Linked DNA regions of Anolis sagrei. The protein of the gene in region 1 purifies or fractionates together with the protein of each later gene. This does not show direct contact. Links are inferred from orthologs where the notes say so. Each region holds a gene or a part of one and is shown in the gene's direction. Other genes may lie near its edges. The genes, in order: SRPK1 and DROSHA.

What was found.
Region 2: the proteins of SRPK1 (region 1) and DROSHA purify together in Homo sapiens (affinity purification with mass spectrometry; 3 studies listed by BioGRID and IntAct, counting the BioPlex papers as one, with this or other methods). This does not show direct contact. The link is inferred for Anolis sagrei from reciprocal best matches to the Homo sapiens genes SRPK1 and DROSHA.

The regions. Positions count from the first base shown.
Region 1 is NC_090024.1:186,296,133-186,311,284, reverse strand, and holds the start of SRPK1 (SRSF protein kinase 1), read left to right. Parts: upstream 1-9,337; coding exon 9,338-9,665; intron 9,666-12,706; coding exon 12,707-12,767; intron 12,768-15,152. Other genes in the region: MAPK14 (mitogen-activated protein kinase 14), read right to left, coding at 1,885-2,000. UniProt on the Homo sapiens protein: Serine/arginine-rich protein-specific kinase which specifically phosphorylates its substrates at serine residues located in regions rich in arginine/serine dipeptides, known as RS domains and is involved in the phosphorylation of SR splicing factors and the regulation of splicing.
Region 2 is NC_090024.1:91,652,037-91,667,331, forward strand, and holds the start of DROSHA (ribonuclease 3), read left to right. Parts: upstream 1-6,983; 5' UTR 6,984-7,180; intron 7,181-15,241; 5' UTR 15,242-15,245; coding exon 15,246-15,295. Other genes in the region: C4H5orf22 (UPF0489 protein C5orf22 homolog), read right to left, coding at 727-876, 2,037-2,182, 6,748-6,840. UniProt on the Homo sapiens protein: Ribonuclease III double-stranded (ds) RNA-specific endoribonuclease that is involved in the initial step of microRNA (miRNA) biogenesis.

The DNA.
Region 1 (15,152 bases):
CTGTGACAGTGCACAATGCACCTGCGTAGAGGCGGCATCGCCAGCCAGCCAGCTTTTGCACAGGAGAGGAGCTGAATGCTGTTTGACACCAATTTAGCTGCCTTGGCTCAATGCTATGGAATGCACGATTTTGCAGATATGGCTGGACCCCCAGGATTCGACAGCATTGAGCCATGGTTAAACTGGTATCAAACTGTGCTGATTCTGCAGCGTAGATGTACTCTCAGTCAGGATGTTGAATTAATGCACTTTGTCAGTGCTTTAACTGCCATGGCTCAGTGCTATGGAATCCTATTTATTTACTTATTTATGACATTTACATGCCACCCTCCTCACCCCAAAGGGGACTCAGAGCAGCTTACAAGTTATATGTACATACAATGTATTACATCATTAGCACAGCACAATATTAGTATTACATGTTACTATATTGTATTATACCACTATGCTGTAATATTACATGTAATATGGAATATAAAATTATTATATTGTATTATTAGTATTATATTACATTGTAATATTATCAATAATATATGTATATACAATATATAATATTAGCACAGCACAATATTAGTATTATATATTACTATACTGTACTATACCACCATACTGCAGTATTACATGTAATATGAAATATAAATTATTACACTGTATTATTAGTATTATTTTGTATTACATTATAATATTATCAATAACATATGTCTATACAATATATTATATTATTGGCACAGCACAATATAGTATTAAATATTACAATATTGTACTGTATTTCTAAACTGTAATATTATTAGTAATATAAAGTATATGATAATTGGGTTGTTGTAGGTTTTTCGGGCTATATGGCCATGTTCCAGAAGCATTCTCTCCTGATGTTTTGCCTGCATCTGTATTTTGATTTTGTAAACTGATTTAATGTATTTTCAAAGGCTTTCATGGCCGGAATCACTGGGTTGTTGTAGGTATTTCGGGCTATGTCGCCATGTTCTAGAAGCATTCTCTCCTGACGTTTTGCCTGCATCTATGGCAAGCATCCTCACAGGTTGTTATTGTTATTTTGCCTGTGCTACTTGTAATTTTTACATTGTTATGTATGCGTATGTTTTATGTTAATATGATGTTATTGTTATTGTTTGCATTTTCGGTTTGTGTTTTGGTTTTTTTTTCTTTATTGTAATTGTTGTTTGGGCTTGGCCTCATGTAAGCCGCTCCGAGTCCCCATCGGGGAGATGGTGGCGAGGTATAAGTAAAGATAATTATTATTATTATTATTATTGTGAAATCTGACCTCACTACCTCTGAGGATGCTTGCCATAGATGCAGGCAAAACGTCAGGAGAGAATGCTTCTAGAACATGGCCATATAGCCCGAAAAACCTACAACAATCCAGTGATTATTATTATTTTAATGAAATAAATTACGCCAATGGCCAGAGGTCTGGAGGAGCCCAGCAGCAGCCACCAGTACTCGGGAGACTCTCCAAGCCCCCATAACCCTAAATATTATTATTATTATTATTAAACTTTATTTGTACCCCGCTAGCATATCCCGAAGGACTCGATGCGGCTTACAAAGGCCAAGGCCTCAACACACAATATAACAATACAAAACCTAAAGCAAATAATCCCAGCCATGAAAGACTTGGCCAATATATGATTTTTATATTGTATTATTACGAATATATTGTAATCCTAGGAGCCTTCAGCCATCTCTGCCAAAGAGATGCTAACTCATCGAATTAGAACTCCCAATACTCCACAGCACTGAGACAGGGCAACTGCAGGGGTGTCAAACTGCAGATGCGGCCAAGGCGGTCTGCCTTGAACGTGTGACCCTGAGGCTCTGTTAAGGAGCTCCCTCCCTTTTCGACGAAGGGTTGCCACTCACCAGACCGAGCCGTAGGCCCCGGAGCCCACCGGCGAGAGGTTCTGGTACCGCTCGGGGACCTCCCAGATGGTCTTGTTCAGCTCCTGCCGGTAGAACTTGGGCCGCTCGTGGGTCATCGCGACCCCGGGCCCGCCCCGCCCAGCGCGGCCTGGAGGGAGGGAGACCCTCGCACGGGACCCTTGGCTCCGCCCCCTTCAGAGGGGAGGGGGGAAAGGGGAGGGGTCTCTCCGTCACTCACTCACTCACACACACACACACTCTCTCTCTCTGTGCTGCGCGCGCGCCCAACCGCCGCCTCAGCTGGCCCGGACGCCTCGTGCCGCTGCAGGGGAAACACGGGGCGCCTCTTTCCTTGGGAACTGCTTTTAGGGACCCCCTCACCCCACCCCCTGCAAAAAGCCTTCCCCCCTCAGCGTAAGGAGGCTTGCGGTCGCCCTGGAAGAAGCCCGCTTCAGCCCCGCAACGACGAGGACTCGCCCGCGCCTGACTTCTCCCGACCTCCCCTTCTTCCTTAGATGCCAGAACCAATCGATCGCGGAGGTCTCGCGAGACTTCCGGGAGATGGATGGAAAAAAAAAAACTCCCAGCGAGATGCCCCAATATGGAACCTAGCTGGAGCGCTCTGGAATCCGCGGAGCAGCGGGAAGGTCTCGCGAGAGCCTGAAGGCAGCGAGAAGAAAAGGCGAAAGAAGGCGGAGCTTGAGAACAGGAAGGATGAGATTTTGTGACAGCTCCAGCTGGTCTGTCTCTCTCTCTCTCTCTCTCTACACCAGTGTTTCTCTACCTTTCTAGTCCAGGACCCCTTTAATACAGTTCCTCCTGTTGTGGTGACTCCCAATCACAAAATTATTTTGGTTGCTATTTATTTACTTACTAGCCGTCCCCTGCCACACGTTGCTGTGGCCCACATGGGGGTTGTGTGTGGGAGGTTTGGCCCAATTCTATCGTTGGTGGGGTTCAGAATGCTCTGTGATTGTAGGTGAACTATAAATCCCAGCAACTACAACTCCCAAATGTCAAGATTCTATTTCCCCCAAACTCCACCAGTGTTCACATCTGGGCATATTGAGTATTCATGTAGAGTTTGGTCCAGATCCATCATTGCTTGTGTCCACGGTGATCTCTGGATGTAGGTGAACTACAACTCCAAAAGTAGGAGCCCCCGGTGGCGCAGTGGGTTAAACCCCTATGCCGGCAGGACTGAAGACCGACAGGTCGCAGGTTCGAATCCAGGGAGAGGCGGTTGAGCTCCCTCTATCAGCTCCAGCTCCTCATGCAGGGACATGAGAGAAGCCTCCCACAAGGATGATAAAAACATCAAATCATCCAGGCGTCCCCTGGGCAACGTCCTTGCAGACAGCCAATTCTCTCACAAGAGAAGCAACTTGCTCCTGACACGACAAAAAAAAAAAACAACAACAACAAAAAAACAAAACTCCAAAACCAAAGGACACTGCCCACCAAACCCTTCCAATATTTTCTGTTGGTCATGGAGTTCTGTGTGCCAAGTTTGGTTCAATTCCATCGTTAATGTAGTTCAGAATGCTCTTTGATTATAGGTTAACTATAAATCCCAGCAACTACAACTCCCAAATGACAAAATAATATTTTTTTGAGTGATGGCCACTCCTTGTATAGTGAGACGTTTTGTTGCCAAATTTGGTGTGATTTCGTTCACTGGTTCTTTTGTTTTTAAGGTACTCATTATGCACAGAGCATTTATATATATATAGATTTCCAGTATTTCTACCCCATCCTTCTCAACCCCTGAAGGGGGACTCAGGATGACTTAAATTTGGCACAATGTGATGCCATTAAATATAACAAAGCAATATAACAACAATTAAAACATAAATAGAACATTAAATAAAACAATAAAAACAGTATTAACCACCGTATCACCATTCCAGTCAAATTCCATATCCAAAGTTGGATGGGGTTACACTCCCCCTGAAGGCACAGGTTCGGAGCTTGGGAGTGGTTCTGGATTCATTGCTGAGCCTGGAACCCCAGGTTTTGGCGGTGGCCACGTCAACTTTTGCATAGTCAAAGCTTGTGCGCCAGCTACACCCGTACCTTGGGAAGTCTGAACTGGCTATGGTCGTCCACGCTCTGGTCACATCCCGAATAGATTACTGCAACGCACTCTACATGGGGATGTCTTTGAAGACGGTTCGGAAACCACGACTTCAATTTCTTGCTAAAACACAGGAGGGATGAAGCCGATCTACCTCGTTGTGAAGCGAGTTCCACAGGCAGAGGGCTACAGCCGAGGAGGCCCTGTCTCTCATTCCTGCCAGACGTATTTGTAATGCTGGCGGGAGCGAGAGCAGGGTCTCCCCGGATGATCTTAAACTGCAAAGCAGGACATAGAGGGAGATGCGTTCAGACAAGTAAGTTGGGCCAAAACTGCATAGAGCTTAATAGGTCAAAACCAGCACTTTGAATTGAGTTTGGAAGTGTATCGGCAGCCAATGGAGCTGGCACAACAAGGGGGTGGTGTGCTCCCTGTATGTCGCTCCAGTTAGTAATCTGGCTGCAGCCCGGTGGACTAGTTGAAGTTTCCGAACAGGCTTCAAAGGCAGCCCCGTGTAGAATGTGTTGCAGTAATCAGTTCGGGATGTAACAAGAGCGTGGACAACTATTGCCAGATCAGACTTCCCAAAGTACGGGCGCAGCTGGCACACAAGCTTTAACTGTGCAAAAGCTCCCCTGGCCACCGCTGAAACCTGGGGTTCCAGGCTCAGCAATGAATCCAGGATCACTCCCAAGCTGCGAACCTGCGTCTTCAGGGGGAGTGTAACCCCATCCAACACAGGATGTAACCCTATGCCCTGTTCGGCCTTTTGACTGACCTCTGTCTTGTCAGGATTCAATTTCAATTTGTTAGCCCTCATCCAGTCCAACACAGTGGCCAAGCACTGGTTCAGTAGCTGAACAGCCTCCTTAGTAACGGGGTGGGAAGGAGTGACAGATTTGGACGTCATCTGCTACTTCATAACTGTAATGTTGCTACTGTTATGAATCGTCGTGTAAATATCTGATATGTAGGATGTATTTTCATTCACTGGACCAAATCTGGCACAAATACCCAATATGCCCAAATTTGAATACTGGTGGGGCTTGGAGGGGGGGGGGGGGGGGTTGATTTTTGCCATTTGGGAATAGTAATTGCTGGGATTTTAGTTCATCTACCAAAAAGCATTCTGAACTCCACCAACGATGGAATTGAACCAAACTTGAAACACAGAACTCGCATGACCAACAGAAAATACTGGAAGGGCTTGGTCGGCATTGACCTTGAGTTTAGGAGTTGTAGTTCAGCTACATCCAGAGAGCACTGTGGACTCAAACGTTGATAGATCTGGACCAAACTTGGTACAAATACTCAATATGCCCAAATGTGAATACTAGTGGAGTTTAGGTAAAATAGACCTTGACATTTTGGAGTTGTAGTTGCTGGGATTTATAGTTTACCTACAATCAAAGAGCATTCTGAACCCCCCCCCCCCCACATGGTCTTTCGCAGCCCCTCCAATACCCCCTCGTGATCCCCCCCAGGGGCCCCGATCCCCAGGTTGAGAAACGCTGCTCTACACTGTAGAACAGGGATGGACAAACTTTGACCTTCCTGGTGTTTAGGACTTCAACTCCCACAATTGCTTTTTTTTAATTAAATTTACATATATTAACACATTACAGTGTAAACAGAACACAAAACAATTACAAAACAATTACAAACACATAATCCCACAACCAAGGCCTGAACAAGTATAATTTCCTTTGCCACTAATTTATGAGTCAACCAGTAAACAGATGTCATATCCAAAATTCCTGACCAACAAGGTTGTAGGCTGTTAAGAATTGTGGGAGTTGAAGTCCAAAACACCTGGAGGGCCAAAGTTTGCCCATGCCTGCTATAGGAATGCGGTTTGACACCACTTTTACCTGCCCTGGCTCAATGGCACAGAATCCTGGAAGTTGTACTTTGGCAAGGCATACACACTCTTTGGCAGAGGAGGCTAAAGCTCTTGTCAAACTACAGCTCCCTGGACCCCACAGCAGTTGAAGTGGTGCCAAACTGCAATTCATTCTACAGTGTAGAAGGTGCACCCTGGGAAATCCAAGATTACATTTGTGGCTTTCCTGCCAATTCTTCAACTAGATGGTGCAACTTTCTCTCGCAGTCCTTGTGTTTATGCTAATCTCATGGGATATTATTTTTACACCTAAGAATTATGCATCTGGTATAGTCTGGCAATTTTTTTGTTGCTGTCACTCAACCAAGATGCTTTTATAAAAACAGCTTTTAAACATGAATTTTAATGTCCTTTGTTTAATCTGGGTTGTGTTTTTTTGCATTTTAATACACATTTTATAGAAATAAATTTTAATATGTATCTTTTTATAGATATACATTTTATTTTTTATTTTTTAAATATTTTTATTACTTTATCATAATTATTACATTTATTATACATTTGTTTATAGCAGTTACATATTATTCAACACCCTCTTTAACATATAATCTTTTTCTTCTGCTTAAGCATTTTCCCCCTTTTTTCCCCCCACCACTGTGCTCCCCTCCCCCCATTTCAAGCCACAACTTTTACATATCATCTGTCCAAAATCTCATTTCTTCTTGTGGCGGTAACCTTCCTTGTTTTTTAAACCATTTACAACAAATTTACCCCATACAACATCAAAATCACTTTGTTTCCATATACTTTTTTAACTTTTAATATACATGTCAGCTTATTATTTATTGCCAATTTCCATGCTTCCTTGTACCACTCCTCTATTTGTATATTTATTTCTTTTTTCCAGTTCCTTGCTATGAGCAGTCTTGCTATTGTTAATAAGTTTATCACTTCTTTATCCTCCTTGTTCAATTGTTTGTTGTTATATAGTGATAATAAGGCTATACTAGGACTTTTCTCAATTTTCATATTCATTATATCTTCTATTTCTCTAAATACTTTCTCCCAAAAATTATTTACATATTTACATTGCCACCACATATGTATGTATGTTCCTGGTTTTTGACACCCGCTCCAACAATTTTTTGAATTATTTTTATTTATATATGCTATTCTTACTGATGTTAGATACCACTTCCATATTAGCTTATAATAATTTTCTTTAACCCGTATTGATAAGTTTTTTAAATGTCTTTGTCCCCATAATTGTTGCCACTCTGTTTCGTTTATTTTTATCCCTAAATCTTCTTCCCAAACCTCTTTAAGGATGTTATTATTTGTATTTCCTTCCTTTATTTCAATTATTATCTTATATATTTTACTAGTTATTCCTCTCAAATTTTCATGCTCTTTTACAACCCTTCCCTTCTGTATTATTTGTTCAAATTGGTTAAGGGTTAGGGTTAGAGATACATTTTAATATGTGTATTTGTGGTATTTTTATAATGTTTATGTGTCTTAATTATTCTGTAACCTACCTCGAGGAGAGGGGGGTAAGAAATAAAATTATCATTATCATTATTTGCTGTTTTTCATCTTTTTATGAGATCCATGTTGCCAGTACATTGGACCTATCATCATCATCATCGTCATCTCTGTTGGAAATGCAACAATGTTTAGCACTGAAGAATGAAGAATGCCTCACTGTGGGCAGTAATAATAGGGTTAGATAGTTTGAGTGACTGGAGGAGTCCTCCCTCTTTTGCATAACTATTTGAACCCCTAACCGATACTCTTAGGCCCCTTCCACATAGCTGAATAAAATTCCACATTATCTGCTTTGAACTGGCAGTGTGGACTCAGATAACCCAGTTCAAAGCAGATGTTGTGGGTTACTCTGCCTTGATATTCTGTGTTGAAGCACCCTAAGTTTCTCCGCCTCTTCTTTCCATGAGTCCTCTCTCAACCTTCCAAGGTGTATCTAGGTTAAATTAGATTCACTGAGTAACCTTCCTGTCTTAGAATGGCGTTCTTACAATAAAGCTTACATTTCCTTTTTCCAAACAATTGGTGTGTTTGCTCCTTAAATCCAGATCACTAATCATTTAACCACAGAACGCACTCTAACAATTTATTCCCTAGTTTTCTCTCTTGATCAAGGCCCAAAGCAACGTCTGGGGTTTGCTTTTAGGAACCATGGATATCATACATTGGTATATATTTGTACCTGTGTCAATTCTTGAAAATTGCCAGAACAGGTGGCATCTAGTGTTTATTTCTATTTTCAAATGAAAACCATATATTCACTAAAATAATGCTTTATTTCAGTAGCATACATAAAGTTCAAATTCATGCACAATATATGAACAACTCAATAGCTGAAGTTCATATAACATCCTATAGATCAGTGGTTCTCAATCTGTGGGTCCCCAGATGTTTTGGCCTTCAACTCCCAGAAATCCTAAAAGCTGGTAAACTGGCTGGGATTTCGGGGAGTTGTAGGCCAAAACACCTGGGGACCCACAGGTTGAGAACCACTGCTCTATGCAGTGGTAAGCTGGTGGTCAACTAGTACTAGGAAATGTAGATCCAGCACTGAAAACAACAGAGCAAAACAACAGAAGGGAAACAATCAGGCACATCTAATCACCTCTCAACAAAAGTTTGCCCCAGGCACTGCCGGGCCATCAAATGCTAATCAAGGTGGTCAGTTGAAACATTCACACCTAGCTCCAACAGACAAGAGTTCTTTGCCCCACCCTGGTCATTCCACAGATATATAAACCCTTTTTCCTACTTCCAACAGACCTCACTACCTCTGAGGATGCTTGCCATAGATGCTGGTGAAACGTCAGGAGAAAATGCCTCTAGACCATGGCCATATATTCCAAAAAAACCTACAACAACCCTTTCTCTTCGTAATATTTTACTTTGATTCGCCTTTCAAGAACTCTGACTTTGCCTTTTGTTTCAAGTAAACTTATCTGGTTAACTTTATTCCTGTCTCAAGAGTCTTTATTTTTAAAGAACTGAAGTACATCAGAGGGTATACCGATAGCCACCGGGCATAGCCAGCTATATAGTTTTCCTTTCATCCCGGCGTGCCATCACGTGGTCTTTAGCCTTCTCTGCTGATGCCTCTCTAAACTACACATCCCAGGGCTCCATAGCCGTCCACAGAGGTAGCTAAAGTGGTGTCAAACTGTGCAAACGCTACAGTGTGGAGGTATGCAGGGCTAGTTCAGTTTGCTCCGAACCCCTGCGCCTCCTGCTGTCTCGGGGCGCTCACAACCGGGACTAATGCATGGAAGCCGGGCCCACTTCCTCGTAGGCGTCCAGCCCCAAATGGCTTCCAAACTCTCCCGCAGGCAGAACCGGCCAGGCGGCGAGGACGTCACAATCCCAGCGGCGGCGGCACCTGACGTGGCCCCAGTTTTGACCTTTCCCGGCCTCCCCGTCCCCACCAAACCCCGGCTTCTCCTCGAGCGGGGAGAGCCGTCGGGGCCGAGGCAGACCGCGCATGCGCTCCGCCCATGGGCCAAGGGGAGTCGGGGGAGGCGCCCGACGCGTGGATCCACCTCCTGGCATTCATGCAGAGCAGGGGGCGGTGCGCCAGCCGCTCGGAAGAGCCATGGAGGGGGCCCCTCCTCCTCCCCCCTAGCAGCCCCAGCTCGGAAGGAAGTGACAGCAACCGCGGCGAGGAGATCTGGTGGCGCGCGCAGCGGCGCGCGAAGATCCCAGCCGTGCGCACGCGCCGGCCCGCCCGCCCTCTCCTTGCGCAGGCGCAAGGGGCCTCTTTAGAGCGCACGCGCGAAGGGGGGACCGGGGGACCTCCATCACTGGCCGCCATGGAGCGGAAAGGTGAGTCTGGGCGAGCTTCTCCGGGTGGCGAGGCGCCCCTCTTCCTCCACCCCCCCCCCCCAATGCTGGGCCTTCGCCCTCTTTGGCTCTGCTTTTCGTGGCCCTCGGGCCAGTAGCCGCAGGAACGGGTTTTCCGTTTTCTCCTCCGTGCCTTTTCCTTCAGAGCTCTCCCTGGGAGTTAACAGTTTTAGGCCTGCCTTTCGGGCACCTGAGGCTTGGCGCAGATCCTCGAGAGGGTGGCATAACAGCATGCTTCCACGTAGGCTATTATTACTTATCCTTTTATCTGAAACGCAGGGGACCAGAAGGGTTTGGAATGTATTGTTTTGTTTTTATTTTATTTGTGGATTTTGAGATACTTGCATTTCTATATATACATAATAAGTTCGGCCAGATTTTGATTTCATTTATTTATTTGTTTGTTGGATTGGACTGGATGGGTTTTGGAATACCTATATTTGTGTATACATACAGAATGAACCGTCTCAGAGGTTAAGACAGTGTGGGGAGGCCCTGCTCTCAATCCCACCCCCTCGCAAGTGTGGCTGGTGGAGACGAGAGACAGGACCTTCTCAGTGGTGGCCCCTCATCTGTGGAACTCCCTGGTGATAGTATGATAGCTGGGTCCGGAAGCTCCGAGCGTTACGCACATTCCGCAACAGCGGTTGTGAATACGGGAAGGGGAGAGCGGCACACTGAGGGGGGGGGGAATATACTTCAATTTGGTGGAAGGATAGAAAGGAGGAATAAAGTTTAGGGTAAGGTTTAGGGTTTGGGGTAGGGTAAGGGTTAGGATTAGCCTTAGAGGTTAGGTTTAAGGTTTTGGTTAGGATTAGTATTAGGGTTTAGGTAAGGGTAAGGGTTTTACCATTAAAGAATTCCTATATTCCTTTTATAATATCTGTATTCCATTCTGTGTTGTGCAAACAGTATTCCCAAAGGAGCGAAGCGGAAAGAGCGTAAGGCTCAGAGCTTCCGGACTCAGCTTTCATACTATTACCAACTCCCTTCCCAGTGAAATCAGGCCTGTTCTTTAGGGGAAAAAACAACTTAAAAACATGGTTGTGGGACCAAGTATTCAAGCAGTAGATGCAGCAGCAAGAGTGAGAGTGATTTTATGTGGCTGACAATGGACTGACCTTGGATTATGATTTTGAATTTGGGCAATTTTTAAATTGATGTTTTAATAATTAATTTATTAACAATTTGAAATATTGGCTTTTACCTATAAAGTCCTAAGTTGTTCTGGCCCAGGTTACTGTCCGAATGTTTCTCCCTCCATAAACCATCTCGGAGGTTAAGATTGTCTGGGGAGGTAGTGCTTTTGATCCCACCCCCTTCGCAGGTGTGACTGGTGGGGGCGGGAGACAGGGCCTTCATGGTGATAGCCACTCGGCTGTGGAACTCCCTCCCCAGAGAAATTAGATCAGCCCCCTCCCTCCTGACCTTCAGGAAGAAAGTTAAATCCTGGTTATGGGACCAAGCATTTGCACAGTGATTCCTAGTGCAACAATAAAAGTTTCAGTGCAGTAATGACAATTGGAGTGGCTCCTGGTATATGTTTTTTAATGGTGTGATTTTAAGTAATTATTTAATTGATATGTTTTTAATGATGTGATTTTAAATTAGATGTTTTATTTCTGTATGTATTCAAGACATTGAATTGTGCCTTTGTTGTAAGCTGTCCTGGGTCCCCTTCCGGGTGAGAAGGGCGGGATATAAATGAGATAAATGAATAAAATTGGAGATGAGTCTCAGGTTTAAATGCGAAATTCAATGATGTTTTCATATATAGAGCCTGAAGGTAATTTTATGCAATATTTTTGTGCATAAAACAAAGTTGGTGTACACTGTGGTATTAATACAGACTGACACCACCTAACAGCCATGGCTGAATGCTATATAATTCTGTAGTTTTATAGGTTCTCTAGTCTTCTAGCCATTAGTACCATATGGCTGCTACGATACATCTTAAATCAGTGGTTCCCAACCTGTGGTCTGTGGACTACCAGTGGTCTGTAAGAACGAAAATATGTTCTGCAGCCTCATCATTATTACACTGTAGCCTCAAAACCATGTAGTAACTAGAGTGACTGGTCTCGCGAAACCCTCTTATAGTGACAAGGCAATGGGAATGTCGAGAAGGGAGAGGCTGACTACCCAAAAAAGATTACTACTACCACACTATTAAATATGAAAGATTACTACTACCACCTCGTTATTAAATATGGTTTTCTGTGCGTGAGAAGATGGCAAATGTTCTATATCAGAAACTAGAGTTGATTTGGTCTATCCAGTGCAGTTTTCTGAATCAGAAGCTCAAATAACCAAATGAATCGAAAGTTGACCAAAAACCGATTCGTAGCCCTTTTGGTACTAATGTTGGAGAGTGGTCCCTGGTCAAAAAGAAGTTGAGAACCACTGTCTTAAATGAACACTTGGGTTAGCTATTTTTAATGTAATATATTTTAACTGCGTTTTGGGGTATATATTTTAATGTTTACTCATGTTTTAGTCTATTGTCTTTTCATTCCAATGTTTAATTTTTCTATTATAAGTTTACTGTTGTTACTGTGCACTATTCTGTATTGTTTTTGATGTGTTTGCACTTACCTAGGCATTGAATGATTGCCTTTTTTGTGTTTAAACCATCCCGAGTCCTATTATCTTCTGTGCCACAGAATGCTGATGCTCACCAAACTACAAATCCCAGGATTCCATAGCATTGAACCATGGCAGTGAACGTGATGTCAAACTGTTTAACCCTATAATGTAGATGCATTCAAAGGTGTCACTATCTCAGCCACCCATATGGATGCATTTTGGAATTCTGGATGAGAGATGCCCAACTTCTATTTAGTGGGATTTAAAGATTTTGGTAAAAAGTGTGCATGTCTCCAGTTGGGTTTGCCTGACTTCATGCTGCTTCATTGGGAAGAAAGGGCCGCTCTTAAAGCAGAGTAACTCTGATGAGTATAATTATTATTTCTCTTTCCACAGTGGAGATTACTTGACTCTTTTATTCTTTCATGTCTTCCCAGTTCTAGCTTTGCAAGCCCGGAAGAAGAGGACCAAAGCTAAGAAAGAAAAGGCCCAAAGAAAGTAAGTGTAACCACTTTCTCCACCTGTTTTTCAAACCAGGACAAGATGGTACAGTTTGAAGTAATGGGAGGTCTTTTTTAAATGTACTGCCATGGTTCAGTTTTGTGGATCCAAGGATTTATAGTTTGGGGAGGCAACAATATTCTTTGGCTAAAAGTACAACTCCCATGAATCTATAGCATTGAGCCATGGGAGTAAAAGTGGGGTCAAACTGTATGATTTACCTTCCGTCATAATAAGAGAGTTGTGGAACTTATATCTTAAACCTTTGTAAATACTAGTTTGTGCATCAGGATCTGAACATCTACCTTTGTTGGAAAATAAAGCAAATAAATAAATAATAGGCACGGTTTCTCTGTAACAGAATACAATTGAAAAGACCACAAGCACTCCCTGAAGAAGAAATTACTTTAAATATTTCAGGAGATACCTATCCTTTCTGTTTTTAACCCTATTATTGGAACTAACACACAGATTTGACAATAAAATACTCCACATTTTTTATTTGTAAAATTTTTATTTTTTGAATGTTAACTTTTATTTACCAAAATCACCTGAATGCCCTATCCATGTCCCAAATAATGTTACTAATTCACCATTGACCTAATTGTTGGTTGCTAAAATGTAGCATTTCCAGTGATTGACAGTTCCTTATTTGCAGTAATTTCTAAACACAAGTATGTTCCTGTTAGTGCAATATAGCACAGGGTTTGCTTCATGAAACTTGCAGTCCTCTTTAATAGCTCCACTGAAAGCAGTAGGCATTAGATTCCTCCCATTTTCCCAACAATCCTTCTTTCCAGCTCTCCAGAGCAGATAGTGAGGATTTTTGGAGGCTACATAGGAATGGGAAGGTATTGTCCCTTGCTGGATCCCCTCTTATTCCACCAGCAGATCTACACAGTTGAATTCAGACTCTTCTAAAGTGAAAGACAAAAGAGAATCCACCCATCTCTGACAAAGACAGAAAGAAAAACATGTCTTGCCCTTGATTTGAATACAAAGTATTTTACTACTCTGGTATTTGCTTTTGGGATTGGTCTGGGTTAACTGAATTGATAATCTAGTCCTGTTCATCCTTTCTAATAGTGCGATGGACCAAGTACACGATAGGGTAACTTCTCCCACTGGCTGGAATGTGGCTCAAATTCAATTATTCTTTTTTTGTGATGGCTAGTGTTGATAAATCTTCAGATTGATGGTTACTTACAATTAACTACTAGGGTAGATAAGTAGAATTTGTATTTACTTGTTATGTCTGTTTAAAGAACCTAGTTCTTTGCTTGCCTCTTGAAGGAAAATTGAAGGGGCAGATGAAGAGTTCAAATGTTACAGATGGTTCTTGCCTAGTTCTGGGTTGTAAGGGAAGTAATCCACATTACGGATTTCTCCTCTGACTCCTACAAAAGTTGACATTTGTTGAATGCAATCTGCATCATTTTTCCTGCAAAATTTGTTAACATTAAGATCCCTAAAATCCAAAATGTTTGATTCTGCCTTGGTTTGAACTTTTACAGACAGGACAATAGAGTGTTGTGATCAAAAAAAAGATGTTGAGTAAGATAGCAGCATTTGGAAATTGAACTTGAAGCTTCCAAAGCTCTTCAATATAATAGAAACTAGCTTTTGTGCTCAAGATTTTCACACACCCTTGATTAAGGGAATTACATGGTTCTTAGGTCACATACATTTTGAATATCACTGTTGCAGTCCTTTCATTATGGGGCCTTGAAAATAAAGATTGCACCTCTGGAAGCCTTCATCTCTCTAAAACAAGAGTTGTGCTAGCATCTTGCTTCCGCCCCCTTACCAATTTTTGTGACTGGCTGGCCATGCTTACAGATGTGAAGGCCTGGGGAAAAATGGAAAATTTGCAGTTGCTTTCTTTAAAAACCATGTTTCCTTGGAAAATTTGGAAATAGATTATGAGAACCTTTCTTTTAGAATGGTGTATGAACTATTAAAGCATGGTATTTTTTTTTATCCCAGACCAGGTTGTAGATAATGTATAGTAACAAAGTGACTTTCCTTTTTTAAATATCTTTTTTAGTATTTCCACTTCCTCCCCCCTCTTCAGAATTTGCACAAATTTGCACAAACATTAGGACTTTCGTGATTCCAATAGTAAGTTAGATGCAGAATGGAAAATGTCCCCCAGACTTTTCAAATTGTCCATACCTGCCCTAAAGGAATTTATTGACTGCAAATTCACTTACAGTAATTATACACTGCAAAAATATTTTCAAATTGATATAGTAGGTTGAGTTGAGTGACTTTTATAACATGCTTAGACAAAGTAAGATAGGCACAACTTTCTGGGAATTATACTTTTGAATCATGTTCTTAGGAGAGTAAAAATGTTCCTATTCTTGTCTAAATGTCAAG
Region 2 (15,295 bases), about 95 Mb from region 1:
TAACATTTTAATTGAATATATTATATGATGCTTTTAATTATTACTATGTGATTTTATTGTTGGAAACTGGCCCGAATCCACCGATAGAGGGGAGAAGACTGGTATACAAAATTGCTAAATAAATAATAATAAATAAATATTTTATGTTGTTGGCGGCATCAAATTGTGCTGACTGTAAATCGTCTTGAGTCACCTTTGGGCTGAGAAAGGCGGTACATAAATACGGCAAAATAAATAAATAAATAAATAAATAAGCTAAGTTGTAATTATTCACCCTGGGATCATAATGAAAAAAGGCAGAAGAAGCATCTTTTTAAAAACCCACTTGCTTTATTTGCTCGATGGAGGGAAAATGGAATAGAACTATAACACTTACTTAGGAGTAAGCTCTGTTAGGATGACTTATTACTGAGTGAGCACACATAGAACTGTACAAGTGAAATGAGCAAAATACAGTAATGTGTGGCCTGAGGTGGGAAAACGAGCTAGCAGTTCTACTAAAATTAGTTAGAAAACATTTATGAGAAAATGGAAGCAGACAAGAATAGCGAAACACACATCAGATCTAACTCTTTGCACTCTGCTAGGCGTATGCTGTACCCTGAGTGCCTTGTAAGCTGTCCCGAGTCCATTAAAGGAGATGGTGGCGGGATATAAATAATGATGATGATGATGATGATGATGATAATAATAATAATAATAATAATAAGGCAAACACATATTTACCTGATTGTTGTGGTGGAAGTGTCTTTACCCACTAAAAAATGATGGGTCCCTTCTTCAATTTGTTGAGCCCACACTGGATGTAACCATATCACTTGTGAAAAATGGCCAGCATAAACAGCAGGCATGATCCAGTTCTCAATACTTAGCTCACTGTAAAAGAACACAAGGTTGCATGCACTGAAAGGAATGCTGCTGTCAAAAGACATGGGCTGGCATATCACATCGTCACAATACATTTGCACATCTCAAAAGCAAAGGCCAGTATACAATATGAGTATACAATAAATGTGGGAAATACGAGTATACAATAAATGTGGGACAAGTACATGAGCAAACAGTAGGAAAAAAATTGAAACTTTTGTGATCAGCAATCTAAGGGTGAATCTACACTGTAGAATTAATGGTTTGGCTTTACTTTAACTGCCATGGGTTTTCTATTCTTTTCTATGGCACACAGCAAACAGAGGAATTGATCAGCAACTGAATGTACTAGCGAGGTTTGGGGAGAATTAACCATAATTTATAGGAATTGAAGGTACTGAGATGTATAGTTCACCTGCAATCTAAGAGCACTCTGAACTCCACCAACAATGAACCTGGAACTAACTTGGCACATAGAGTCCCCATGACCAAACAAAAAATACTGGAGGTCTTTGGAGGGAATCTATAGAAGTTGTAGTTCACCTACATCCAAAGCACACTATGAACCCAAACAATGATGGATTTGGACCAAACTTAGTACACAGAACCCCTATGACTAACTCAACCTACTGGAGGGATTTGAGGGGAATGATTCACCATAGTGGGAGTTGTAGTTTACCCTACAGCCAAAGAGTACACTGAACCCCACCAATGATGCATCCAGAGCAAAACTGCCCAACATAACTTTAAGTACTGATAGAGTGTTTTTGGGTTAACCTGGCATGATTTAAGTTGTAGTTCACCCACAACCTTATGTATTTTGTGTAATTTAAAATTTGACCTTTTCAAATAATCCGGACAATGCTAGGTACCCAAGCTAGTAGAATTTAAAAATAAGGCAAATGCAAACACATATGAATATAATATAATATAATATAATATAATATAATATTATATATATATATATATATATATATATATATATATATATATATATATAATTTAATATTTGTATCATGAGCGTAAAACTTAAAATATTACATTATAATTCTGTGATGTTGGGTTGGTCCAGAAATGAAGCAAGACATCAAAGGCAAAGGAAACCACACTCTTTACTTCCTGTATGCATAAAAATCTAGTGTATGAACAATCAGATCACAGGATCCTACCTAAACAGAGCTTCTTTGTCAAACACTGTGTCTGCAGGCATATTCACTGGGATGAGAAGATCTGGGTGAGAATCCAAATGGACAAAGCTGATGTTGCAGGCAGGAAGGTGCTTCGAACCAATGCCTCGGTAAATGAAAGGAAGAACCTAAAATAACAATGATACACAAGCATTTAAATCGAGGCAAAGACAGATTATAGAGAGCTGGGCCAAAAATCAACCAAACATTCCAACAGGAAGAATTGTATAGTACTATGCTTATGCAGAAAAAAACACCTGGCTTTACAACAGTACATGTAAAAAAGATATTGGAGTCTTAGTAGACCACAAGCTGAATATGAGGCAATAGTGTGAAGAAGCAGCAGCTTAAAAAGCCAATGCAATTCTAGGCTGCATCAATAGGAGCATAGTGTCGAAATTTGGGGGAAGCCATGTTGCCTCTGATCATACCTCGCCTAAAATACTGTGTGCAGTTTTGGGCATCAAAAAGGATATTGACAAGCTAGAATGTGTCCAGAGAAGTGTGATCAAAATAGCAAAAGGTCTGGAAGCCGAGCACCATTTGGAGTGACTTATACAGAGTTGGATATATTTAGCCTGGAGAAGGAAAGGTTAAGGGATGACATAACAACCAAGTCTAAATATTTGAAAAGGTGTCATGTTGAAGTTAGAGCCAGCTTATATTTCAGTGTCCCAGATATGAAGCAATGCATTCAAACTGAAAGAGATTCCACCTAAATATTAGGAAGAGCTGTTAGTGGAATATATTGCTTCAGAGTGTGGTAGACTCTCCTCTTCTGGAGGTTTTTGAACAAGACGCTGGGTGGCCATCTGTTGGGACTGCTTTGATTGGGTGTGTCTACATAGATGTTGGAATGGATGGCTCTTGGTGTCTCTTCCAACTCTATGATTCTATGATAAACTGTTATTGAGAAAGAGGGAGTCAATTGAGAAGAGCAACCGGCCACCAGCTCAACATGACAGTGAGATAGTGAATTCACTTCAGGCATTAAACTAACCTTTAAGGCAACTATCCAATGTGCTGAACCTTGCATAAAATATATTAAGTCACTTGGAGAGCCCCATTAAAACTAGCTGAAACCTCAAGTGGGTTTGCCACCTTGCAGACATGTGAGCTACCCACCACCACAAGAGGTAACTCAGCGTGCATTTTTACAGCCCAGTCTGTGTATATGTGTTTTGTGTGTGTGTATATGTGTATATGTATGTGTTTGCATATATGTGTGTGTGTGTGTGCATATATATATGGTTTTGCGCATGCGTTGTAATGTTGTTGTTTTTTGGCATTTTAAGTCTCTTCTGCTGTGTTTTTCAGTGTTTTTAATTAGTGATGGTCACTCATTGGCCTGATAGGTGTATTGTGTCCAAATTTGGTGTCAATTCGTCCAGTGGTTTTTGAGTTATGTTAATCCCACAAATGAACATTACATTTTTATTTATATAGATCAACCCAGTTTGACACCATTTTAACTGCCATGTATCATTTCAAATGGTCTTTGGTTGGAGTCCTGGTGCCTCACAATCTACAGGATTCCATAGCATTGTGCCATGGCAGTTAAAATGGTGTCAAACTGGAATAACTACGCAGTGTAAATGCACCCTAGGAATTCTTAGGGCCCTTTCGCACAACCATATAACCCAGAATATCAAAGCAGAAAATCCCACAATGTCTGCTTTGAACTGGGTTATCTGAGTCCACAGTGCCACATATTCCAGTTCAAATAAAAAAATGTGGGATTTTATCCAGGTATGTGGAAGGGGCCTTACTATAACCTTACTGCAGCCTATTCCTACACATTGTTACACATAAAGAGCAACTCCCAATAAAAAAGTTGCTGAATGCCACCAATGTCCACAAATTTGTTAGCAACAACGTGAAGTATTTACACTGGATTTTGTAGGAGATGGATTCAAAGGGCCCTGCCCTAAAGTTCCAATGAATGGTTGAAAATGTCAAAACTTTTTTTTTAATTCCCAAAAAACAGTAGATGTATGAATATTTCTGAAAGTTGTGGGGAACCATCACCTATTATCTTGTGTCATTGTACAGAAAATTCAAGCAGATTGCTCTTGTGGTTTTTTTAAGTTGTTTATAAAAACTTTGAAAATTCCCCAAAAATCCATAGATGAGTGAAACCTTCTGAAATTTGGTGAGCTAACAGTGCCAAATATGTTCTGCCACGGCAGCACGTTTCATTCCATTAGCTTTAAAAATGAGGGAGATAGGAGCCCATGAACTTTCTCCAATTTGAGTAATTACATGCAATTACAGTAACGGAAAAGAAATGAAATTCCGTTACTCACGTTATAGTAACGATTTTTCCCCAGTAAGAATACTTTGGAAACACTTTAGAAACGAAATGCCAGTTTTGTAATGACTTTTGAGCCATTTTTTTTAATGGATCGCACATCCCTAATTAAATAATAGTTGACACCACTGTTATGGCTCAACACTATGGAATCCTGGGATTTGCTACTTCATCACACTAGAGAAAGAATAATAACAACACTTTATTTATATTCCGCCCTTCTCACTCCGAAGGGGACTCATGGCGGATCACAGCACACATACATGGCAAATATTCAATACACAAACAGACAGAACAGAAAGGAGGTGTTATCGACTCAGTGTCCAGCTGTTTTTGGTGCCAAGAAAAGTGAGTCCAACCACAGGGGGTGCTGTTGCTCCATTTGCTATGACAAAGAGCTGTCAGAACTTCCTCCTTCCTCTTTGGTTGCCCAGCATTTTCTAATATTCTTTCCTTATGGCACCGTAAAACACCTCCCCCACTTTTAGCAGTACCTAATTTCTCTAATTACACCGAAAGCTGTTTCTGAACTGCTTAGGTAAACAGTGAGCTAGGCTGACAGTCGACCGCTCACACCGACCTGAGGCTTTGAACTTGCAACCTTTGGGTTAACAGATCTTATAGTTGCTGGTGATTTACCAGCTGTGCTAAGCCGCCTGGGTGATAGTATGATAGCTGGATCCGGAAGCTCCGAGCATTACGGAGATGCCACAAAGGTGAGTGTGAATAAGGGAAGGGGGGGGCAGGAGTGAGAATGGGGAGAGAGAAGTAAGGATAGAAAGGAGGGGATGCTTTGGGTAAGGTTTAGGACAAGGTTTAGGGTTTGGGTTAGGGTTATAGTAAGGTTAGAGGTTTCAGTTAGGGTATGGTTTAGGGTTAGGGTAAGGTTTTGGGTTTGCGTAAGGATTAGAGTAAGGGCTTAGACTTATGCTGCTGTTAGGGTTTCACCATTAAAGAACTTGGTGATAGTATGATAGCTGGGTCTGGAAGCTCCCAGCATTACGGAGATGCCACAAAGACGGGTGGGGAAAAGGGAAGAGAGGGGGTGGAGTGAGAGCAGGGAGAGCGAAGGAAGGATAGAAAGGAGGGGACGCTTAGGGTAAGGGTTAGAGCAGGGTTTGGGGTTTGGGTTAGCGTAAGGGTTAGGATAAGGGTTAGGATAAGGCTTAGGGTTATGGTAAGGGTTTGGATAAGGGGTTAGGCTAAGGCTTACGGTATGGTTCAGGGTTAGGGTTTGGGTAAGGTTTAGCGTAAGAGGTTAGGCTTAGGGTTTGGGTAAGAGGTTAGGCTTAGTCTTACGGTATGGTTCAGGGTTTGGGTAAGGGTTAGGGCAAGGGGTTAGGGTTAGGTTAAGAGTTTAGGCTTAGGCTTATGATATGGTTCAGGGTTAGGGTAAGGGGTTTGGGTTAGGGTAATGGTTTAGGCTTATGGTATGGTTCAGAGTTAGGGTTTGGGCTTAGACTTCCGGTACGGTTCAGAGTTAGAGTTTCACCATTAAAGAACTCTTACATTCCTTCTATATTATCTGCCTCCGGCCTGGCTTACATTAGCTAAGTCTTTCTTGCGCAAACAGCGCTCCTGAAGGAGCGATGCGGCATCTTGCACGGAGCTTCCAGACCCAGCTATCTTACTATTACCACCTCTGGTGGCACAGTGGGTTAAACCCCTGTGCCGGCTGGACTGAAGACCTACAGGTTGTAGATTCGAATCAGGGGAGAGTGTGGATGAGCTCCCTCTATCAGCTCCAGCTTCTCATGTGGCGACATGAGAGAAGCCTCTGACAAGGATGGTAAAACATCAAAAACATCCGGGCGTCCCTTGAGCAACGTCCTTGCAGACAGCCAATTCTCCCACACTAGAGATTTTCAAGCAAAATTCTCAAGCTGCATCATTTTATATTAATTAAATCATAAACACCATAATTAAACAAAGAATAGAACTTTGGACACATGTATAAAATCATGCAGTTTCTCAAGTCACTCCTGATACGACAAAATAAACAAACAAACAAACAAATAAATAATAAGCAACCACCTCCTGCCCAATGAATCCCCTCTAAATCCGGTTTCTGCCTCCTGCAGAATTCTGGGGTTTGTAGTTTAGTGATGCTGTTAAAGAGTCCTCCCTAAACTACAAATCCCAGAATTCTTCAGGAGTCAGGAGGAGGTAGCAACCAGATTTAAAGTGGAATCATTCTCTAGTGTGATGAGATCCTAACAGTGAGGTATCATAGCATTCTTTTGGGAAACAGTAGCTTGTCAAGTGACAACCATCTCCATGGCAGCTGAAGCGGTGTGGATGCCCCCTGAGTCACTGCTGAAGTCAGAAGTGGGGTCAAAGGGCCCTCATTCCGCTTGCAGTAAGCAGTCGCGCAGTGCTTACGTCGTGATGGTCCTCCACCACCCAGACCGGCAGCGCTGTGTAGAGCCTCCGCGAGCTCCCCGCCCCGCCTTCTTCCTCCTCCTCGCCGCTCATCTCGAACGCTCGAAGACCCAAAACCGAACGCTGCGGCCGGTAACGTTCCAAGGCCCGGGCGCCGGCAGCCTTCCGGGGGGAAGCCTCTCGAGGTGACACAGGCGGCAGGCATGGTGGGAAAGCGAGGAGGAGGAGGAGCAGGAGGCGGAGCCATGGACCTCAAGCCGCCGGAGGGAAGAGGGAAGAGGCCAACAAAGGGCGCCGATGCCGCTTCCCTCCCTTTGCAAGAGGCACAAACACAGGGCTGCCCAAGGCGTCTTCCCCTCTGATGTCTTCCTCCGGCCCTTTCCTCTTCCGGGGCTCTCCCGCCCTTTCCCCCCTCCGCCAGCCCGGATTCTAGGTAAGCTTCTTCCTCCAGATCTCTGCTGTAGACTGCACGCAGCTTGGCTCCATGCTGTCCTGGGGTTTGCCGTCCACACTCTTGCCAAACCCAATTCTGCATGGCTGCATTCATTCTACAAAGGCAGAGCTCCTTTGCTGTGGATGCCTTCCTCCCCGGGCCCTTCCACACTGCTGTGGAGCCCAGATTATCAAGGCAGACAATCCCACAATATCTGCTTTGAACTGAGTCCACACTGCCATATAGAGCTGCGTGGAAAGGGCCTATGATTATAAAATCCGAGATGATGTCCCCTTCCCTTCCTCCAGCACTCTTTGGCAGGAAAGACTCTAAAGAACTTGCAAAACTACAACTCCCAGGATCCCTCCTTATTCCCATAACATTGAGGCCCCTTCTGCACTGCTATATTATCCAGATTACCAAATTGGATAATCCACATTATCCTCTTTGAACTGGATTATATGACTTCACATTTTTATTCATCTTGTCAGGAGCAGACCGAACAGTTGCGGTGCCTTTTTTAACAAACAAACAAACTAACAAATAGACAGACAAAACACAAAGTTTGCAAGCTTGGTAGTTGATTAAATGTCCTTTGACCAGTATCTGGCCACTTGGAGTGCCTCTGGCGTTGCCGCAAGGAGGTCCTCCATTGTGCATGTGGCTGGGCTCAGGTTGCATTGCAGCAGGTGGTCAGTGGTTTGCTCTTCTCCACACTCGCATGTCGTGGATTCCACTTTGTAGCCCCATTTCTTAAGATTGGCTCTGCATCTCGTGGTGCCAGAGCGCAGTCTGTTCAGCGCCTTCCAAGTCGCCCAGTTTTCTGTGTGCCCAGGTGGGAGTCTCTCATTTGGTATCAGCCATTGATTGAGGTTCTGGGTTTGAGCCTGCCACTTTTGGACTCTCGCTTGCTGAGGTGTTCCACCGAGTGTCTCTGTAGATCTTAGAAAACTATTTCTTGATTTAAGTCGTTGACTTGCTGGCTGATACCCAAACAAGGGATGAGCTGGAGATTTATTATTTATTTATTTACTTTGCTTATATACCGCTGTATCTCAAGCCCGAAGGCGACTCACGGCGGTTCACAAACAGTAAAAACAGTAGAAACAGCAGTGGTTCCATACAGCATATAACAATTGACTTAACACATTATCCATAAATTACCAATAAGCAATTACAATGCACAATTATTACAAAAAACAACCGTACCCAATCTTCTCATCATCCAAGCGTAGTCCAGGTTCGTCGTCCATTGTTCCATTCCTATGTTCCATTACCAGATTGCACTAAATTACTCAAACGCCTGCACAAACATCCAGGTCTTCACCTTTTTGCCTCTGCCTTGGTCCTTTCACTATTGGCTGCTACTTCCTGGCGGATGTCAGGTGGTGCAATACCAGCTAAACAGTGTAATTTCTCCAGTGGTGTAGGGCGCAGACACTCTGTGATAATGCTGGTAGGCTGTTAGGAATGGTGGGAGTTGAAGTTGAAAACACCTGAAGAGCCAAAGTTTGCCCATGCCTGCTATAGAGCTTTTACAAAACCCTTGGCCTTCTCTGGCAAAGAGTGTTGATGTTCCAGTAAACAACAACTCCCACAACACAGCCATAATAAATTCTTGTTCTCTTGGCTTTTAGGTCTGTTCCTGGAGTTATAGGGTTCAGAAAATTGGATTGGGTAGACTGCATAAGCTCCGGTTTCTTAGATATGATTTTCTGTGGGTGAACAGATGGCGACTGGTGGGTGATGATAAGAGAAAACTGGTGCCATTTTTTGGAACTAGAAGATCAAATATACGCAGAAACAGGGCTAACATTCAAGGCACCAAAATGTTGGCCAGCGAAGCATTGAGATGTGTCAGTTAAAAGTGGTGCCAGAGTGCATTAATTCTACTGTGTAGATCAGTGGTTCCCAACCATTTTTTTTGACCAAGGACCACATTGACCAGGGACCACTTTCCAATATTAGTACCAAAAGGGTTAGGAATTGGTTGTTGGTCAACTTTACATTTGGTTTAGTTATTTGGGGTGCTGAAAATTGCATTGGATAGAGCACAGCAGCTCTAGCTTCTGATACAGAAAGTTTGCCATCCAGTAGTCGCCATCTGCTCAACCACAGAAAACCATATTTCATAAGCTGGTGTGGTAGTACTAATCTTTCATGGGTAGTCAGCCTCTCCCCTCCTGACAGCCTTGTTGCCTTGGCATGATAAGAGGGTTTTGAGAGACCAGTCGCTCTCGTTTGCCGCATGTTTTCGAAGCAATGGTGTAGTCATGGTGATGCCACAGACCATATTTTCGTTCTTGGGGACCACTGGTGGTCCACGGACCACAGGTTGGGAACCGCTGATATAGTGGGCCCAAGTATCCTAAATGTGCCAGATCCTGTCTGATCTTGGAAGCTTAACAGCCCTGGTTAGCACTTTGAACAGAGATTTCCAATGAATACCAAGTTCTGTAGGCTATATTTCAGAGAAAGGATCACTTAAAACCTGTGAGTATTGCCTGAGGAAACTCCATGAAATTCATATAGTTGCCATTGTTAGGGACTTACACACTTAAGAGAAGCTGATAACTAAAATATTGTTATTATTTTACTGACACAAAAACATAGTATATTACAGCAAACGAGATCTATATGCTGGATTTCATATCACAAAATCACAAGTTGAACACTTCCCAAGCATCTAGGACTGTGTGGTGTATTTTCAAATGATTTGTGGAGATCCAAGCAAGGTGGCCTTTTGGAGTTGACAGATCATGATTTTGCCAATGTTTATTGTTTCCAAATGCTGGCTGAGATCTTTTGGCATGGCACGCAGTGCACCAATGACCACTGGGACCACCTGTACTGGTTTATGCCAGAGCCTTTGCAGTTCGATTTTGAGATCCTGATAACGGCTGAGTTTTTCCTGTTGTTTTTCCTCAATGTGACTGTCACCTGGTATGGCGACATCAATAATCCAATTTTTTTCTTTTCCACAATCGTGATGTCTGGTGTATTGTGTTCGAAAACTTTGTCAGTCTGGATTTGAAACTCCCACAGTATTTCTGTATGTTCATTTTCTACAACCTTTGCTGGTAGGTTGTACTTGTGACGTAAATTCCAGTGAATTATTTGGGCGACAGAGTTGTGCCTTTGTTTGTAGTCCGTCTGTGTGATTTTCTTGCAACAGCTGAGGCTATGTTGTTGCAATTATTGTTATTATTATTGCTAATACCAATCAGTTCATGTTTATGTTTATGTTTTTTGCTGTTGTGGTTCCTTAGCAATTGAACAGATTGGAAGAAAAAAAAGTTGGTACACTCTCTAGTCAAAATAAGAAGTGATATGATCTGATTTAACCCCATTTTCAGGATTATTTCTTTCTTTCTTTCCGAGCTAAACCCATTTTCAGGATGTCTTTCTTTCTTTCTTTCTTGGAAGGTGAACGTCCAACGAGTTAGGACCATCCCTCTAGACAAGAACTGTTGTTTTATTTGCTCTGAGATTTTATTTTTCACTTTTAGCGAGACTTGTGTTTCCTGTTTGAATGTATCTCCAAGAAAAAGGCCTGATCTTGCACGAAGAACCCTTCCTTTCAACATGAAAGATTTTTTTATATCTTGTAGTGCATTGGGGTTCTCACTGGGATCAGAAACATTGCAAGGGTTCTTATTTTAGCTGGACACAGTCAGTGTCATGATCCCCAAATGGAAGTACTGTCACAAGAAAAGAATCAAAGTCACAAAGGAATCCAGAAGCACCTTTGAGACTATCAAAACCGCCTGAAGAAGCCATTTCAAGTATAGCTTTTGTGGATACAGTCCGTTTTTGTCAGATACATTTGATGAAGTAGGCAGTGTTCACAGTAAGAGATATTAGAAATGTCTTCTTTTCCATTAGTCTCAAATACGCTATTGGATTCTTTTGTATCTTTTAATCCTAAAGCAGATTAACGTAGCTATCTTTTTGAAGAGAAAAGAATGGCTACCCTAAGGCCATCTAAGTGAGTTGGTGGCTCCACGGAGATTGTCGAGCGGAAAAAAAATCCATAAGGCTCATGAATGTAGTGGTGGTGGGGAGATGTACAGTATTGAATACTCTTAGTAATGCAATGCTTGTATTATAGCGGAACAACTTTGTTCGCTCACATTGGGCATTTTATAAAAGTTTTTCAACACTCATTTCTGAGGCCTGCCTTCCTTTTTATGTTCTCTGAGTGCCTTTTTTCCAGCACCACTTTAAGACATCCCTCTTTTTAAAAAATCAATTTATTTGATTCCAATCACTTCCCTGTGCATGTGATTTGAAGTGGAGCTTTTTCTGACTCTTGTTCTTAGAAACTAAGTACCTGAATCAAGTTTTTAAAATCTGGAAGGTGATTACCAAAGGAGATATAAAGCGTCTCCCTCTAAGAAGTATTTGCCTTAGAACAGTAAAGCTCTTAACATTAACCAGGACATGACAAAGGAATATATACAATACTCAGCGTATCTGTGGTTGTATGTCTATGCCAATGGTTCCCAACCTGAGGTCCGTGAACCACAAGTGATTCTCAAGAACTAAAATTGGTGTGCGGCATCACCATTACTACACTGTTGCAATGAGGACGACTGGCCTTACAAAACCCTCTTATAGTGCCGAGGCTTATTAAATATAGTTTTCTGTGGGTGAGCAGATGACGACTACTGAATGGCGTATGTTCTGTATCAGAAACTAGAGCTGATGTGGTCTATCCAATGCAGTTTTCAACATCCCAAATAATCAAACTGAATCTAAAGTTGACCATAAACTGATTCATAACCCTTTTGACACTAATGTTGGAGAGAGGTCCCTGGTCAAAAAAAAAAGGTTGGGAACCACTGTTCTATACAGTTGGCCCTCCATATTTGTGAATTTCATTATTAGTGAATTTGAATAATACATTTTCAATAGGAATTCTAGGCCCTACAGCATGTGTCGATGGACCTAGAGCAGTGTTTCTCAACCTTCCTAATGCCGCAACCCCTTAATACAGTTCATCATGTTGTGGTGAACCCCAACCATAACATTATTCTCATTGCTACTTCATAACTGTAATTTTGCTACTGTTATGAATTGCATTGTAAATATCTGATATGCAGGATGTATTTTCATTCATGGGACTGAATTTGTCATAAATACCCGATATGCCCAAATTCGAATACTGGTGGAGTTGCGGGGGGGGGGGGGGGGGATAATTTTGTCATTTGGGAGTTAGTTGCTGGGATTTATAGTTAACCTACAATCAGGGAGCATTCTGAACTCCACCGATAATGGAATTGAACCAAACTTGACACAGAGAACTCCTATGACCAACAGAAAATACTGGAAGGGTTTGGTGGGCATTGACCTTGAGTTTTGGAATTGTAGTTCACCTACATCCAGATATCACTGTGGACTCTAACAATGCTATATCTGGACCAATACTCAATATGCCCAAATGTGAAAACTGGTGGAGTTGGGGGAAAATAGATCTTGACATTTGGGAGTTACAGTTGATCGGATTTATAGTTCACCTATAATTAAAGAGCATTCTGAATTGTACCAATGATAGAATTGGGCCAAACTTCCCACACAGAACCCACATATCTTGAAGGGACTCATTGGTGTGAGCCTCCCTCTAGCCTTGCATGCTTTCCCTTGCCTGCATCACGCTGCTGTGCCACGTCTGCTCTCCCCTCCACACTTGGAGTCTCAGGAACAGCCCTACCCTTGGCTGAGAGGCCGGCTGAGAGGCCGTCCAATCACAGCAGAGGAGGGCTTTTGGTGGGCGGATTCACTGTCTGTTTCCAAAAAGGAAGAGAAGGACAAGCAGAGAGATCTTCAGCCTTTTCTGCCAAAGGGGTTCCTAAGGCCAGAGGCAACTCCTCTGAACCCCCCCCCCCTGTGGTCCTGACCCCAAAGTTGAGAAACACTGGTCTATACAGCTGGCCCTCTACATTTGTGGATTTCATTAATAGTGGATTTGAATTTTCTCAATTTCTCTAGAAATATCTAGGCCCTTCAGCATGTGTCCATGGACCTAAAGTTTCCTGGAGGGTACACTTCTCTAGGTACTTCAGCAATGATTTTATGGTCAGCCTTTGACAAACGGAGAGATTTTTAAAGAGATTTTCCCCCCAGAGGGAAAAAAAAATAACTGGTGCTTTTTTATTCATGGTATTCCAACTCTGTCACTCCTTCCCACCTGCTACTAAGGAGGCTGTCGAGGTCCTGAACCGGTGCCTGGCCGCTGTAACGGTCTGGATGAGGGCGAACAAACTGAAACTAAATCCAGACAAGACAGAGGTACTCCTGGTCAGTCGCAAGGCCGAACGGGATATAGGGTTACAGCCTGTGCTGGACGGGGTCGCACTCCCCTTGAAGGCGCAGGTTCGCAGCTTGGGTGTGACCCTGGACTCATCGTTGAGCCTGGATCCCCAGGTTTCAGCGGTGACCAGGGGAGCATTTGCACAGCTTAGGCTCGTGCGCCAGCTGCGCCCGTATCTCGGGAAGTCTGACTTGGCCACGGTGGTACACGCTCTTGTCACATCCCGCCTGGATTACTGCAACGCTCTCTACGTGGGGCTGCCCTTGAAGACGGCCCGGAAGCTTCAGCTGGTCCAGCGTGCGGCAGCCATGTTACTAACTGGAGCGGGTAGCAGGGAGCACACAACGCCCTTGTTGTCCCAGCTTCACTGGCTGCCGATTTGCTACCGGACCCAATTCAAGGTGCTGGTCTTGGCCTACAAAGCCCTAAACGGTTCCGGCCCAAAATACCTTTCTGACCGCATCTTGGCCTACGAGCCCACGAGGACCTTGAGATCGTCTGGGGAGGTCCTTCTCTCGATCCCGCCTGCATCACAGGCACGGCTGGCGGGGACGAGGGAGAGGGCCTTCTCGGTGGTGGCCCCCCGGCTGTGGAACACTCTCCCGGCACACATCAGACAGGCGCCCTCCCTCATGTCCTTTCGAAAAAGCCTTAAGACCTGGCTGTTCGAGAGGGCATTTAATTAAGTGCTAAGCAACAACATTACGGTAATGAGAACTGGAATGGTATAAGGAAAATGAGACTGGCTATGATTCTACTAAGAGACGAAGCGGATTTTTATGTAGTTTGTATTTGTTGTATAGTCATATGTTGTTGATACTGGCCTCTGTAACTGTCTTTTTATGTGTACTGTACACCGCCATGAGTCGCCCGTAAGGGCTGAGAATGGCGGTCAATAAGTGCATCTAATAAATAATAAATAAATAAATAATATTCCTACTTTATTCATGGTATTCCTACAGCGCTCCATGCAGTCATGCTGGCCACATGACTTTGGAGGTGTCTACGGACAATGCTGGCTCTTCGGCTTAGAAATGGAGATGAGCACCACACCCCAGAGTCAGACATGACTGGACTTAATGTCAGGGGACTACCTTTACCTTACCTTTATTCCTACTACTACAGGGGTCGTGCACCCCATCATTGTAAAAGTGGATGGTTTGCTGTATTTACTTGATTTATATTCCTTGTCTTTAAATTGTTATTATGTATTATTATATTTATTCATATCCTGCTTTCCTTTCTCAAACAAGACTCAAAGCAGCTATAACCTAGCTATAACCTGTTGAAAAACAGACTTGGGTAAAAGTGTAATTTTTTTTATTTTAAACATATTTTAAAATATGATTAAATTAAAAACAAATTGAAAGTAAATATTAGACAACAACAACAACAATATAAATCTTTATTTATACCCTGCCACCATGTCGTGGAGGAACTTGGGGCAGCTCACAAGGCTTGTCAAAAAAAATCCCGTCTTCAGTTGTGTACAGAAGGCTTGGAGAGTGGAGGCTAGCCTAATCTCCCTTGGGAGGGCATTCCAAAGAGTGGGGGGGGGGGGCACCACTGAGAAGGCCCTCTTTCTCATCCCCACCAACCACACTTGAGATAGAACGAGAGGAGGGTCTCCCCGGTAGATCTTAGCACCTGTGCCAGTTCATAGAAAGATATGCGGTTTCGAAGATAGGCTGGATACGAAGTGTATAGGGTTTTAAAAGTAATATATTCTTCTTTTTTTCTTACTTTAGATGTATGATGTCTTTCCATTCTGGGCGAGGGTGTCCTCGAGGCCGAGGGGGAAC